Arabidopsis thaliana: one gene and its partner. The protein of the gene in region 1 purifies or fractionates together with the protein of each later gene. This does not show direct contact. Each region holds a gene or a part of one and is shown on either strand. Other genes may lie near its edges.

What was found.
Region 2: the proteins of SYP111 (region 1) and SAR1 purify together in Arabidopsis thaliana (affinity purification with western blotting, with the first as the bait; one study listed by BioGRID). This does not show direct contact.

What each region holds. Positions count from the first base shown.
Region 1 is NC_003070.9:2,707,651-2,714,434, forward strand, and holds SYP111 (syntaxin of plants 111), read right to left. Parts: upstream 3,351-6,784; 5' UTR 3,160-3,350; intron 3,070-3,159; 5' UTR 3,061-3,069; coding exon 2,128-3,060; 3' UTR 1,875-2,127; downstream 1-1,874. Other genes in the region: NPQ1 (non-photochemical quenching 1), read left to right, coding at 1-27, 105-271, 537-633, 738-1,132, 1,224-1,737; ACHT4 (atypical CYS HIS rich thioredoxin 4), read left to right, coding at 5,409-5,645, 5,897-6,073, 6,159-6,323, 6,414-6,662. UniProt on the Arabidopsis thaliana protein: Involved in cytokinesis. Acts as a cell plate-specific syntaxin, required for the fusion of vesicles at the plane of cell division.
Region 2 is NC_003071.7:14,040,896-14,048,230, reverse strand, and holds SAR1 (synaptobrevin-related protein 1), read left to right. Parts: upstream 1-2,687; 5' UTR 2,688-2,893; coding exon 2,894-3,107; intron 3,108-3,559; coding exon 3,560-3,701; intron 3,702-3,794; coding exon 3,795-3,915; intron 3,916-4,107; coding exon 4,108-4,170; intron 4,171-4,296; coding exon 4,297-4,446; 3' UTR 4,447-4,772; downstream 4,773-7,335. Other genes in the region: PKT3 (peroxisomal 3-ketoacyl-CoA thiolase 3), read left to right, coding at 133-216, 308-417; RALFL18 (ralf-like 18), read left to right, coding at 1,399-1,710; VAMP723 (vesicle-associated membrane protein 723), read left to right, coding at 5,339-5,528, 6,064-6,205, 6,292-6,412, 6,612-6,656, 6,779-6,934. UniProt on the Arabidopsis thaliana protein: Involved in the targeting and/or fusion of transport vesicles to their target membrane.

The sequences.
Region 1 (6,784 bases):
TCTGCATTCAGGTCAGGATTCTCTAAGGTAATCAATCATACTAGTCTTGTGTTTCAATACAAAATTTGGTATTTCGATGATCTCATTGCTTTTGATCATGTCAGGGGATATTTGACATTGTGCCATTACCATCAAAGAATGAGCTGAAAGAGCTGACCGCTCCGCTGTTGCTAAAACTCGTGGGTGTTTTAGCTTGCGCGTTCCTTATTGTTCCATCTGCAGATGCAGTTGATGCACTTAAAACTTGTGCATGCTTATTGAAGGGATGCAGGTAACTTTCCTTCGTTTGGATTCTGCATATATAGTGTCCCCCCACCAAAACCGGTTTTATTTTCATTGTGATTGTGATGCTATAAGTGTTTTGAATTGTATAGCTCCATACTCTTCAATTGTTGAGAATGTTAAAGCTAGATGAAGTTACTGTGTCTGTCTATGATAGAGCTGAAATCAGTTGATGATATCTTTCTGATTTTTTTGCCGTCAATTTATATATTTCCCTCCTTGTCTGACCATATGGAAGCCCAATTATCTGTTAGGATAGAACTCGCAAAGTGCATTGCCAACCCTGCCTGTGCAGCCAATGTCGCGTGCCTTCAGACCTGCAATAACCGTCCAGATGAAACCGAGTGCCAGGTTATAATTTATTTTGATATATCATTTTATGAGGCAGAGATATTGCTTGCTTATGAAAGAAGACCAATGATTTTGTTTATAATTATGTGCTTATATTATATCAGATTAAATGTGGGGATCTGTTTGAGAACAGTGTTGTTGATGAGTTCAACGAGTGTGCTGTGTCGAGAAAAAAGTGTGTTCCTAGAAAATCTGATCTCGGAGAATTTCCTGCCCCAGACCCTTCTGTTCTTGTACAGAACTTCAACATCTCGGACTTTAACGGGAAGTGGTACATTACAAGTGGCTTGAATCCAACCTTTGATGCCTTCGACTGCCAGCTGCATGAGTTCCACACAGAAGGTGACAACAAGCTTGTTGGAAACATCTCTTGGAGAATAAAGACCCTAGACAGTGGATTCTTTACTAGGTCAGCCGTACAAAAATTCGTGCAAGATCCTAACCAACCTGGTGTTCTCTACAATCATGACAACGAGTACCTTCACTATCAAGATGACTGGTAATAACATCTTGTATCCACCCACGAGGGAGAGTCTTGATAGTGCTGCTATTCTTCTTTGGCCTAACAAGCTTTCATATGATTTTTGCAGGTATATCCTGTCATCAAAGATAGAGAATAAACCTGAAGACTATATATTTGTATACTACCGTGGGCGAAACGATGCTTGGGATGGATATGGTGGTGCAGTTGTATACACGAGAAGTTCTGTATTACCCAATAGCATTATACCAGAACTCGAAAAAGCAGCAAAAAGCATAGGCAGAGACTTCAGCACATTCATTAGAACGGATAACACATGTGGTCCTGAACCTGCGCTCGTGGAGAGAATTGAGAAGACAGTGGAAGAAGGTGAAAGGATAATCGTAAAAGAGGTTGAAGAGATAGAAGAAGAGGTAGAGAAGGAAGTGGAGAAGGTCGGTAGGACTGAGATGACCTTGTTCCAGAGATTGGCTGAAGGATTTAATGAACTGAAGCAAGACGAGGAGAATTTCGTGAGAGAGTTAAGTAAAGAAGAGATGGAGTTTTTGGATGAGATCAAAATGGAAGCAAGTGAGGTTGAAAAATTGTTTGGGAAAGCTTTGCCAATCAGGAAGGTCAGGTAGAAACAAGAACCACCATTGTTGTACAAACTATATTATACATACTGTGTTCGGTTCATATAAAGTAATATTTTTGTACACAGTCATCATCATTCCATAACAATTGGATACAGAAAACACAAGGATTAAACATCCTTTGAGCGAAACAAACAACGATTGGTAAACATAGTACCTCAAGAAGAGCTGAAAGTGTTAACAATGGGGATGACAACATTTAGAATGATCAAGAGGATTAAGTCAACTGGGTATCTTTGTAAACATTCACCATTTCATTGAAATTGGATACAAGACACGAAAGGATTAAGACATCCTTGAAGAACACAAAAGGATTAAGACATCCATTGGTACAAAGAAGAGCGAAACAAAACAAAAGGAGTGAACATAGCCAGTATCTCAAGAAGAGCTGAAACTGGTAATGATGGGGATGACAACAATGAGAATGATCAAAAGCAGCACAATGATACCAATGCACATCCATTTTCTGCTGTTTCTCTGATGACTCTTTGCAGTCTTCAGCTCATTAGCTCCATCAGCCACGTAATGGCTCGCATTAATCACATGATGCTCGATCTCGTCCATCTGTTCACCTTGCGATTCAACCATCACAGCCATATCAAGAAACACTTGGTGAAGCTCCAACAGACTCTTCTCAATCTCCTTTGCTGCATCATACCTGTCTTGAATCTCAACCACAGTTTCCAAGACCTTTCCTTTACCATGTTCCTGAATTGCTCGCGTGAGAAACTCTTCACCTCCAGCGTTATCAGTGATGATCTTCTCAATCATCTCATCATTAGCATGTTCTCCAGTGACAGTGAAGTACCTTCTCTCAACAGTCTCCTTGTACTCACTCATCATCTTTTGCCTCAGCCCCTGAAACTCCATCATCACTTCCTTAAGTTTCTTCCTCAGCCCATTAGTCACAGCGGTTCTGCTCCTATAAACCGGAGTCCCAGAGAGCCTTTTAATCTCCTTGTTGGCTTTATCCATCTCTTCCAGCTTCGACTTAATCGATTTCGCCTTCCTCAAACCAGACACAATCTCGTTAGAGATCTTGTTACGAAGAGACTTCACAGACTCTGCCTTGTGAACACCTTTACTCTCTTCATGGTACTGTTCGATCCGAGCCAGCGTCTCACTAATCAAACCCATCTCTGCTTTCACATACTCTGCTTCTTCTAAGAAAGATGACAGATTCTCATCCATCTTGTCTGCTTTCGTAGAAGCCATCTCAAGATCAAAGTCAGGTCCTGCTTCCATATCCTTCATCGCTGCTTTTTTCAAGTCAACGTAACTCATAAACGATTTCGTCATCAAGTCGTTCATCTTTTTCACCTGAAAGTCAACAATTTTACAAGAATCAGAGAGAATCGCAGTGATTGTAACAGAATCAAACAAGAGAAAATCAAAGAAAATACAACATACTCTTCTGATTAGTGTGTTCTTCTAGATCCACAAAGTTTCTGCCCAGAAAGTGAGAGAGTAGTGTGAAGTAAAGCTTACTATAGAATTTGATTAGCGATTTGTGAGATGAGAGAAAGCTTTCTTTCTAATATAAGAAAAAGGAGAAATTAGCCGTTACTGTGATTTCTTCGCCCCAACGGCTATATTTTGGCGATGTATCCGTTGTCGTCCATTTGTCTATCTGTTTCTGTTTCTTCAAATCTATTTTTAAATTCATGTGAATTTCTTTCGAAACTTTAAAATAATATAGGGACTAAATTGTAATTAGATGTATGTTTTAGTGCCGACGTGTGTGATTGAGACAGCTTTAAAGATATCGAAACTGAGAAGAAAATATAGGGACTAAATTGTAATTATGTGTATGACATCGCTTTTGTCGACAAATCATCATTGGTGACGATTTACGAAAGCAAAGAAGAGGTGTTCTTAGCTGCACATTTGTCACCATTTATACAAAAATTGTGGTTCTTGTGTTTTGTTTTTTATGTTGGAAAACTTATGGTATAGTTTCTTTTGTTACGATACACCTTAGTTGAACCATTCAAATTATTAGGATATTTTCAAATATATAATATTTTAATTCTAATTTCGTATGTAAACGACTCTCCAATAAAACATCTCCACTAGCTTGTTGGTCTCTAAACTTGAAATCAGTTTTTATTTTTCTTGTAATATTTTCAAAATTGTTTCAATATCGTAGACAAATTTTAAATAAAATGTACATCATATCTCTATAAACTTAATAATACCCAAAATTTTGACTAATCACATTAAATTCCTTATGATATTCGAATAAAAAAATAATTTAATAATATTTATTGTAGTCGCAATTCAATATTTATTCTGTAATGCTTGAAAAATGTTTTTAAAAACTGTGTCACTACATTACTATAACGTTAGTATGTACTAAATTTTGTAACGTTTCATGGTTATAAAATAGTATTAGTTTACCGACAAAAATATATAGATTACGTAACGCTTGTTTTACATTAAAACAAATTTGTTAGGATTGTTTTGTCTATTCTACATTCGTCACATTTGTTTTGTTTAAACTTTTTGTTTTCTAATTAAAAAATTATTCTGTTTTTGTAATTAAATATAGTAAATTTGTTTGCCGCCCAAAAAAATATTACATAACGCTTGTTTTACATTAAAATAAAGTTGCTTCGATTGTTTTGGCTGTTCAACTCTAGTCACATTTGTTACGTTTGTTCTACTTATTGTCGTGAATCGATCGAAAACTTGTGCAATGTGGAATTGAGGGGGTTAGATGTAAACCAAAAAACTAAAAAGGGCAATCTCCAATTATTTTGTTAAAGAGGTGGCAATTGCAAATCTCCAATAATATAAAGTTCATAAAAAAGGTTAAAGGAGAGAGTTGTGGTGGAGAGAGTGAGACCCACGTGGGTGATGTGTTGGCAAACTATCTTCCTTAAAATCCAAATCCATTTATCCATCACTACTTTTTTTTCTTTTGTTTGGTAGTAAAATCCTTCACTAGTTGATTGCAGATGACTAATAAAGTAATAATCTTTCATTTTGGTGGTTCATCGCCTAATTTGTTGTTTACTTGATTGATAAATGTTTGAGGATGAAACTGTATCATTTATTTTTCTCAAAATTGTTTGGTTCATGACCTATATAATCCATTTGTTTAATATTAATATAGGTAAATTTAAAATTCGTTACTTAAATTGGCTAAACATACTCTTCAAAATAATATATATCCACTTAACATAGTTAAAACTCTGTATTCAGATAAAAGCATGGTAAAAAACCAAACATATCCATTTAAATGTATTCAAAGTCATGAGAAAATTTCCTATACTTGTTCCTTTATATCTGCGAGAAGTCATGAACCTTATCCATTTATTAGTTTTCTTCTGACCGACTAAACCTGATAATCACTAATCCACCGTTAGATCTTAAAATTCCAAATCCAAAATGGACGGTCAAGATCACTTAACGAAAAAGAAAACAGTTTCCTGTCCAGAAATGTCTAACCTTGAGGCCTTTTTCTCTTTCCTTTAAACTTTTTTTTTTCGATTATAAATTTTCTCGTGAAGCTAATTTTTCCTGAGAAAGAAAGCGAAACTTCGCTGGCGACTAAAGATTGCTGAGAAGACACGTCGTCTCTGTGAGAACTTTTTCTTTTTCTTCTGGTATATTCTGGAGACAGATATTGTTTTTTCTTCTGATTAGAGAATAATATGACGGAAGTGATTAGCAAAACGAGTTTGTTCTTAGGAGCTTGTGGTAATCATCACCGTGTTGATGATTTCTCTTTCTCTCCGGTGAGTTTTGGTGGGTTTGGTTTGAAAAAGAGTTTCTCTTGTCTGAAGCTTAAGAGTCAGAAGCCTCTTAGAAGTGTATTTTACGGAAAACAGATCGTTTTCGGAGATTCTCAAGACGAGAGCTTCAGAAGATCATCAGCTATCACAGCTCAGGTAGACTTTAATGTTTTGTGTTTTCGTTTTTGTTTATCTGAAATATTATAATCCATTACATGCGAGATCTAATTAGAAAGATCCTGAGAGCTAATTGTTGAAAGAATAGTTTTTTAGGGTTTTGCTTTAATTTTGTTGTGAATTATTGGCTTGAAGAGTAGATTTTGGTTTAGGGTTCATGTGTTTTCAATTTGATGTGTTGGTTTTATGGATCTGTGAAAATATGATATCTGACATGTGTAAATTTGCAGACAACTTTGAGGATTGGGACAGCTCAGAAGTGGTGGGAGAAAGGTCTGAAAGATAACATGAGAGAGATCTCTTCAGCTCAAGAGCTCGTTGATTCTCTTACTAACGCTGGTGATAAGCTTGTTGTTGTTGATTTCTTCTCACCTGGCTGTGGTGGCTGCAAGGCTCTCCATCCTAAGGTATCAATCCACTTCTTGGATTGTTTGGTACAGTATTGATGAAATGAACAAGTTTTCTAACAATGATGGTTTATGATTGTTGCAGATATGTCAGTTTGCAGAGATGAACCCGGATGTGCAGTTTCTTCAGGTGAATTACGAGGAGCATAAGTCCATGTGTTATAGTCTTGGTGTCCATGTTCTCCCTTTTTTCCGATTCTACCGTGGCTCTCAGGGTCGTGTTTGCAGCTTTAGCTGTACCAATGCCACGGTTCGTTCTCATTCTTATAATCCATGAGACAATCAATGAAAAAACCATCTTAGGTTCGATTTTGATCTTGATTTGTTTTATCTGTTTCAGATCAAGAAATTCAGAGATGCCTTGGCAAAGCATGGTCCAGATAGGTGCAGCCTCGGACCGACCAAAGGCCTTGAAGAGAAAGAGCTTGTGGCACTTGCAGCCAACAAAGAACTCAACTTTACTTACACACCAAAGCCTGTACCAGTTGAGAAAGAAGCAGCCACTCCTGATTCAAACCCAAGTCTCCCTGTTCCTCTTCCTTCGATGAGCTCCAATGACGAAAAAACATTGGTCTCCGCAGGGAGATGAGACTGAATAAACATTTCCCTGTATAGTTTGCGTGATAGTAGTAGTAGCAGCAGCTGGATATATTGCAGTACCTAAAGATGTCAGTTCTCGGAGCAGCCAGCCGGTTTAGTGGGGTTTAGTTT
Region 2 (7,335 bases), on another chromosome or scaffold:
TCTTTAACCAACTTACAAGAGCTCTATCTTGCCGCAGTCCGTCCTTTTCAAAGCATATCAATGTCTACATTGTGTCTATATAATTATAAAACGCTCATGAACAGTTGCTAATACTTGTTAAAACTCTCACAGGAGCGCGTTGTGTTGCTACATTGTTGCACGAGATGAAACGCCGTGGTAAAGACTGCCGTTTTGGAGTAGTGTCAATGTGCATTGGTATGCTTCTCACTCGAATAATTCATTGTGAATTTGGTGTCTGAAATATGTGTCTGAGGGATGGTTTTACTGATTTGGTAAACTCTGGCAGGGACGGGGATGGGTGCAGCAGCTGTGTTTGAGAGAGGAGATGGAGTTGATGAGCTTCGCAACGCAAGGAAAGTTGAAGCGCAAGGTCTTTTGTCCAAGGACGCTCGCTAGAGAGGACCATGCACCAAAACCGTTTTTCACCTCACCTCTCTCTTTTCTGGTCTTCTTGTCACTTTCTTCAGATATTATTATAGTTTCGAATAAAGCACACAACCAATGTTTGCCTGAGTCTTGTGTTGTTCTTGACCAGGTCATGTGTTTAGTATTTTTTTTAAGTGAAGGGGGATAATCTTTAAATCTTTTATATGTAAGAATATTGTTCTTCTCGAATTTCATCAGTTGTTGCTTCTAGAAATTTTAGATTTTTTGGGTGGCAGCCATTTCTATATTTCGATGGATAAGTCAAACGTTCATAAAGTCAAGGGTTCTGCCTTTTGTTTGTGTTTCATGATTTTACCTTGAATTTCATTAACTAAAACAGTGTTAATAGTAACAGTTGGGGTGGTGGCGCAGTTGGCTAGCGCGTAGGTCTCATAGCTACTGAGTGATCCTGAGGTCGAGAGTTCGAGCCTCTCTCACCCCATAATTTTATTTTCTCATAGCTATTTATATAACGTTCCTTCTAGTATTTTTTTTTCTTTTCGTTATAGTATCTTGTCTTTGATACCGGAGACGTTATAACGGCAGTATAAGACGTTATAATCATGTTCCAATGCATCCCCTCAGTTTTGTGTTAAAAACGAGCCATCAATGTTATCATATATGGAAATCATTATTGAGGCTTTGACCAATTAATTATGCGAATTGACCGACTTTGATCACTATACAGAGCAAAACAAATCCACTGAATCATTTATTTGTGTAGGTTCATCTTTTTTGGGCACCGTATTCATTTCTTATTCCATGAATTTGACGGAGTAATTTTGATTTTCTTTTTCGAGTAAGAATCTGGTCAAATATTCGATGAACCTCTACAAAAAAAATTAACCTCTATAAAAGTGTAGATTAACCAAGTGTTTCATCACAAACCATTTCAACGTAAACGAAACAACAACTACTACTCTCAACTTTACACTCTCTTGATAAGTCTCGATGATGAATAACATGAAGCTCTTGATCATCGCTGTGATGATCATCTCGGCAGCTTTGCTTCCAGCGCTTGTGGTCGGATCTCGTCCGGTAAAATGTGACAATTGCATGGACGGTGGAGAAAAAGAAGAGATCATGAAGATGAGTTCAGGTGTAGATGTGAGCCATAGGATACTTCAAGCTAAGAGATTTATAGATTACGAAGCATTGAAGAAAAACTTACCAGCCAAACCAGATGGTAAACCGGATAAACCGGATAACAAATACCGACGTGGTTGCAGTGCCGCTACAGGATGTTACCGCTTTACAAATTAAACATAAACCACCTCTCTCTTCTTCTTCTTCTTCCTTTCGTTGGTGTGTTTTATTTTATTTTTAATTAGTATTTCCAATCACATTTCTTATTATTATATTTTATTGCAATTTGTAAGCCTTTGAGGCATTATCTCCTAGAGAGTTAGAATAAACTTCGTTTAGAAATTGTCATCCTTTTCTCACCAAATGATTGACGAGTGAAAATTGATCTCATCGTAAAGTATTTTTGCGGTCAAGTTCAAACAAATTGATCCCTTCTCTCGCACCATATTCTTGTTTTATTTTATTTAAACGATCGATATATTTCCAAACCATTCCTCCAAAACTATCACACATTCACACCTACCAATTTCAACTTTAAATACAAAATATAGTCTTGTTGTAAATATAAGATACACTTTAGAAGTGTACACGTGAAATTCAGGTATATATATTACAATAGTAAGCAACCTCTAAGTACAATTAAATCAAGAAAAAAATAGATTTGAATTAATAGGAGCGGACATGGGATGCATGTAGAATTGTAGATTATCATTTATTATGGTGACTAGACCATTGAACTTTCCTATAACTTTGAAAATATTCTTATTTAGTCATTTAATTTAGATTACACCAAAACCCCAAATATGCCAAATTTTCTACAAATACCCCAAAAAAGACAATTTATAAAATTATTATCCAACCACATGTAATAATCTTTGATGACTTTTAAGTTTTAAATTTTAATAGTAGATTTAGATAATATAGGAACCAATTATTCAAAGGTCAAAGTTCAAACTAGCTTATCCAAATTCATTTTCGCTGATAAAAATACGTTGAAACTATCAAATAACAAAATACCATTACACCAACATCACCAACTTTTTAAAACCCCACAAGTTGATTATTTGAATTTGCTTTTAGGTCCTCAAGTTCAAGATTGTTTCAATTTGCACAATCTGCATAAATCTTTCTGAAATATAACTTTTTTGCCCTCTAAAACTCAAGGGTTTGATTTTTCTTCTTCAACTACGTTAAGATTTCTCCTACACTTTTCTTTTTCACCGTATTCTCTTTTAGTCCTCGATTCTCTACGCGTTTCAGCGTCAAGTCTTCTAGATCTCTAAAGCCTTCGTGCTCGCCAATATAAATCTCTGAGATCGGTCCCGTAAAATCGGATTCGCGTCGTTTTTGAGTAAAAAAAATGGCGCAACAATCGTTGATCTACAGTTTCGTCGCTCGTGGTACCGTTATCCTCGTTGAGTTCACAGATTTCAAAGGCAATTTCACATCAATCGCTGCTCAGTGCCTTCAGAAGCTTCCTTCTTCTAACAACAAGTTTACCTACAACTGCGATGGTCACACGTTCAATTACCTCGTCGAAAATGGATTCAGTGAGTCAAAATATTGCTCGATCTGTAAGCGTAGCTTGTTTGTGTTTTGATTTATCCATTGTTTGAATTAGATTTTTTGCCTAATTGAGAAATATGAATCGAGTTCTTATGTTTGGTATAGTTTCCAGTAATAATTATGTATTGGCGTTGATAATTAATTGATGTTAGATCTATGGTAATCAGTGATATTTTTGGTGGATCTATCAATGAATATTTGCAATTTTTGTTCTGGATCTATTGATTCTTTGCTTATTTGCGTGTAGCTTTCGATATCATGAAGTTTTTGGCATTAGTGTATTGTGTTCTTTATGTAACTCTGTTTTACTAAACCTAATTGGGTTTTGGGTGATGTTGATGGCGGATATGGTCTCTTTATGATAGTGTTAACTTTCTTATCAGCGATATATTGATGAATCTATTGCTTTATCTCTTAATATAGAGTTTAAAATGGACCGGTTTTGTTTTCGTTTGTGCAGCCTATTGTGTTGTTGCAGTTGATTCTGCTGGGAGGCAGATTCCTATGGCTTTCTTGGAACGAGTTAAGGAGGATTTCAACAAGAGATATGGTGGTGGAAAGGCTGCAACTGCTCAAGCAAACAGCTTGAATAAAGAATTTGGGTATGTGTTTTTTGATCTCTTTGATTGGTATTGAAAAGGGTCTATGATTCATGGGCATAGTTATTGATGGACTTCTTTTTGGCTTCTCTAAAGGTCGAAACTGAAAGAGCATATGCAGTATTGCATGGATCATCCTGATGAGATTAGCAAGCTTGCTAAGGTTAAAGCTCAAGTGTCTGAAGTTAAAGGTGTTATGATGGAAAACATTGAGAAGGTTTGATTCTGACCCTTTTTTCTTTTTATCGATATAGTTTTATGTTGTAAACCTTTTCGAACAGAGTTCAGCTTGTATGACTTTAGTACCAGGATCTTATGATTCGTAAAGCATAAACTGTAGAGAGGAATGTTTTATTCTCGGTTGTGAAGACATATTCTGTTGTTAACTCGTTTATGCATTCGTTTGCAGGTTCTTGACCGTGGTGAGAAGATTGAGCTTTTGGTTGACAAAACAGAAAACCTTCGCTCACAGGTTTGTTTTCTAAATGGTTCAAAGTCAATAGACCCACACAGAGACATGCAAGAGTTTGCAGCTTTCTCTTACTGATTGTTGTTTCTTGGGTTTCTAACTTTAAATTTGAACTCGACTTTATCACAGGCGCAAGATTTTAGAACACAAGGAACTCAAATGAGAAGAAAGATGTGGTTTCAGAACATGAAGATAAAGCTCATTGTCCTTGCAATTATCATTGCCTTGATTCTCATCATCATCCTCTCAATTTGTGGGGGATTCAACTGCGGTAAATAAGTCTGGAACATTTCTTCCCGGCGTTATCGACTGCGCTCTGTGCTTCCCAAGATCTCTGAGAATATCTTCATTCAGTTCGTTGTGCTACCTTTTTGTTTTGTTTTTGTTTTTGTGATTTCTATATTCTCATACTATATGTTTCTTCTTAGATTGTACTTCTTGAAATTTGTTTTGTATAGGCTATATATATTATACATATATGTATGCATGTTCGACAATCTGCAATGTTGCTATTGCTGGTACTGACACTAATTCTTGCAAACCAATATTTGGACGATACTTGTTCTTGGCAATTTACTAATTTCTTTGGTCTGTTGATGAGACTCTAGTTGCGGATTGCAGTGAGGTATAAGCATAGTCCACAGCCGGTTAATATTAAATGGAGATGAATATGTAATTAACACGGTTTCGTCTGACCGATTCACCAGAGTCTCCGGTTAGTTCATTAAGGGTTTGCTCAAACGCTTTCTCCTCTGCTTCCCTAATTTCGGAAACATTCGCCTGATTTTCTGAGATTTTGGAATTTCTTCGAATTGATTGCCATGCTGAGCTCAAGATTTCGACTGCTGAAATCGAGGCGACTTGCGGAGCCACCTCCGGCTGATGTCGCGGTTATGTGTATTTGCAGGAAATGAAAGTGATCTCCTTATTGCGGCAAATCAGCCACTTCCTGTCGACTAAAACTGTGGTGCAGCATGTAAGAACAAATGCAAGTTCGGACAAACGTGTTGTCTTGGTCAGTGGTTTTACTTGGCTTAGTCTTCGATTCTCTACGCGTTTCAGCGTCAAGTTTTCTAGATCTCTAAAGCTTTCGTGCTCGCCGATATAAATCTCTAATATCGGTCCCGTAAGATCGAATTAGATTCGCGTCGTTTTTTAAGGAACCAAAATAATGGCGCAACAATCGTTGTTCTACAGTTTCATCGCTCGCGGCACCGTAATCCTCGTCGAGTTCACAGATTTCAAAGGCAATTTCACATCTGTCGCTGCTCAGTACCTTGAGAATCTTCCTTCCTCGAACAACAAGTTTACCTACAACTGCGATGGTCATACGTTCAACGACCTCGTCGAAAATGGATTCAGTGAGTCAAAATATTGCTCGTGATGTGTTTGTGATTGTGTTTTCGATTAGTCGATTTATTCATTGTTTGGATTAGATTTCTTTTTACCTAATTGAGCATTTGAGAATCGAGTTCTTATGTTTGGTATATCTCTATGACTTATCTGAGTCGAGTTCTTATGTGTTTACCGTTTGGTATAATTTCAGGAATAGTTATGTATTGGGTTTGATAATTAATTGATGTTAGATCTATAATCAGTGATATGTTTGGTGGATCTATTTAAGCATCTATGCAATTCTTATTATGAATCTATGATTCTTGGCTTCTTTGCGTGTAGCTTTTGTTTTCATGAATTTGGCTGGTTTTTCAAATGAGAGTTGTTTGGGAAATTTGTGGATATATATCGCTCGAGTAAATTGCATTGGTGTATTGTGTTTATTATATTGCTCTGTTTTAATTAAACTTAGTTGGGTTTTGATGACGTTGGATATGGTCCATATCATATGGACTCTTTATTATATTTTTTAAGTTTCTTATGAGGGATATGTTTGTGCAGCCTATTGTGTTGTTGCAGTTGATTCTGCTGGGAGGGAGATTCCTATGGCTTTCTTGGAACGCGTGAAGGAGGATTTTTATAAGAGATATGGTGGTGAAAAGGCTGCAACTGATCAAGCAAATAGCTTGAATAAAGAATTTGGGTATGTGTTTTTTGATCTATATGATTGGTATTGAGAAGTTTGTATTATTCATGTCAATGACAGACTCCTTTTTGGCTGCTCTAAAGGTCGAATCTGAAAGAGCACATGCAGTATTGCATGGATCATCCTGATGAGATTAGCAACCTTGCTAAAGCTAAAGCTCAAGTGTCTGAAGTTAAAAGTTTAATGATGGAAAACATTGAGAAGGTTCGATTCTGACCCTTTTTTCTGTTAATGGTATAATTTTATGTTTTAATCTATTTCCAGTAGAGTTAAGCTCGTATGAGTTAAGTGTCATGATCTTTTGGTTCCTTAACCTTTAAATTGATGAGGGGAATGTCCAGTTCTGGGTTGTATAGGCATGTATGCTGACCGTTTTTACATTGTGGAACACATTCATTTGCAGGTTCTTGCCCGTGGTGTGATATGTGAGATGCTGGGTAGTTCAGAGGTTAGTTCTCTTAGGCATATGGTTCTAAGTTCCATACACATAGATATGCTTGAGTTGCCAGTTCTCTCTTACTAATGTTGTCTTGGGTTTCCAACTTTTAATTGAACTCGAAACTGTCACAGTCACAGCCGCAAGCTTTCTATATAAAAAGAACTCAAATGAAAAGGAAGAAGTGGTTTCAGAACATGAAGATAAAACTCATTGTCCTTGCAATTATCATTGCCTTGATTCTCATCATCATCCTCTCGGTTTGTGGGGGATTCAACTGCGGTAAATAAGTCTGGAACATTTCTTCCCGGCGTTATCGACTGCGCTCTGTGCTTCCCAAGATCTCTGAGAATATCTTCATTCAGTTCGTTGTGCTGCTTTCTTTTTGTGGTTTCTAATTTCTAATTTCTGCTATGTCCTTTCTACTTAGGTTGTACATAAATATTATACATATATGTATGTCCTTTCTTCTTTGAAATTGGTTTTGTATAGGCCATATATATGTATGAATGTTTTTGCTATTACTGGTACTGACACTGATTCTTGCGAACCAATACTGTGACGAGATTTAAATATGTAATTGGCAACTTACAAATTGCTCTGGTCTGTTGATGTCTTAATGAAGGCTCTAGTTGCGAATTTGCAGTGATGGTGATAACGGTGTAACATAGCCTAGATTGGAGACGAGTCT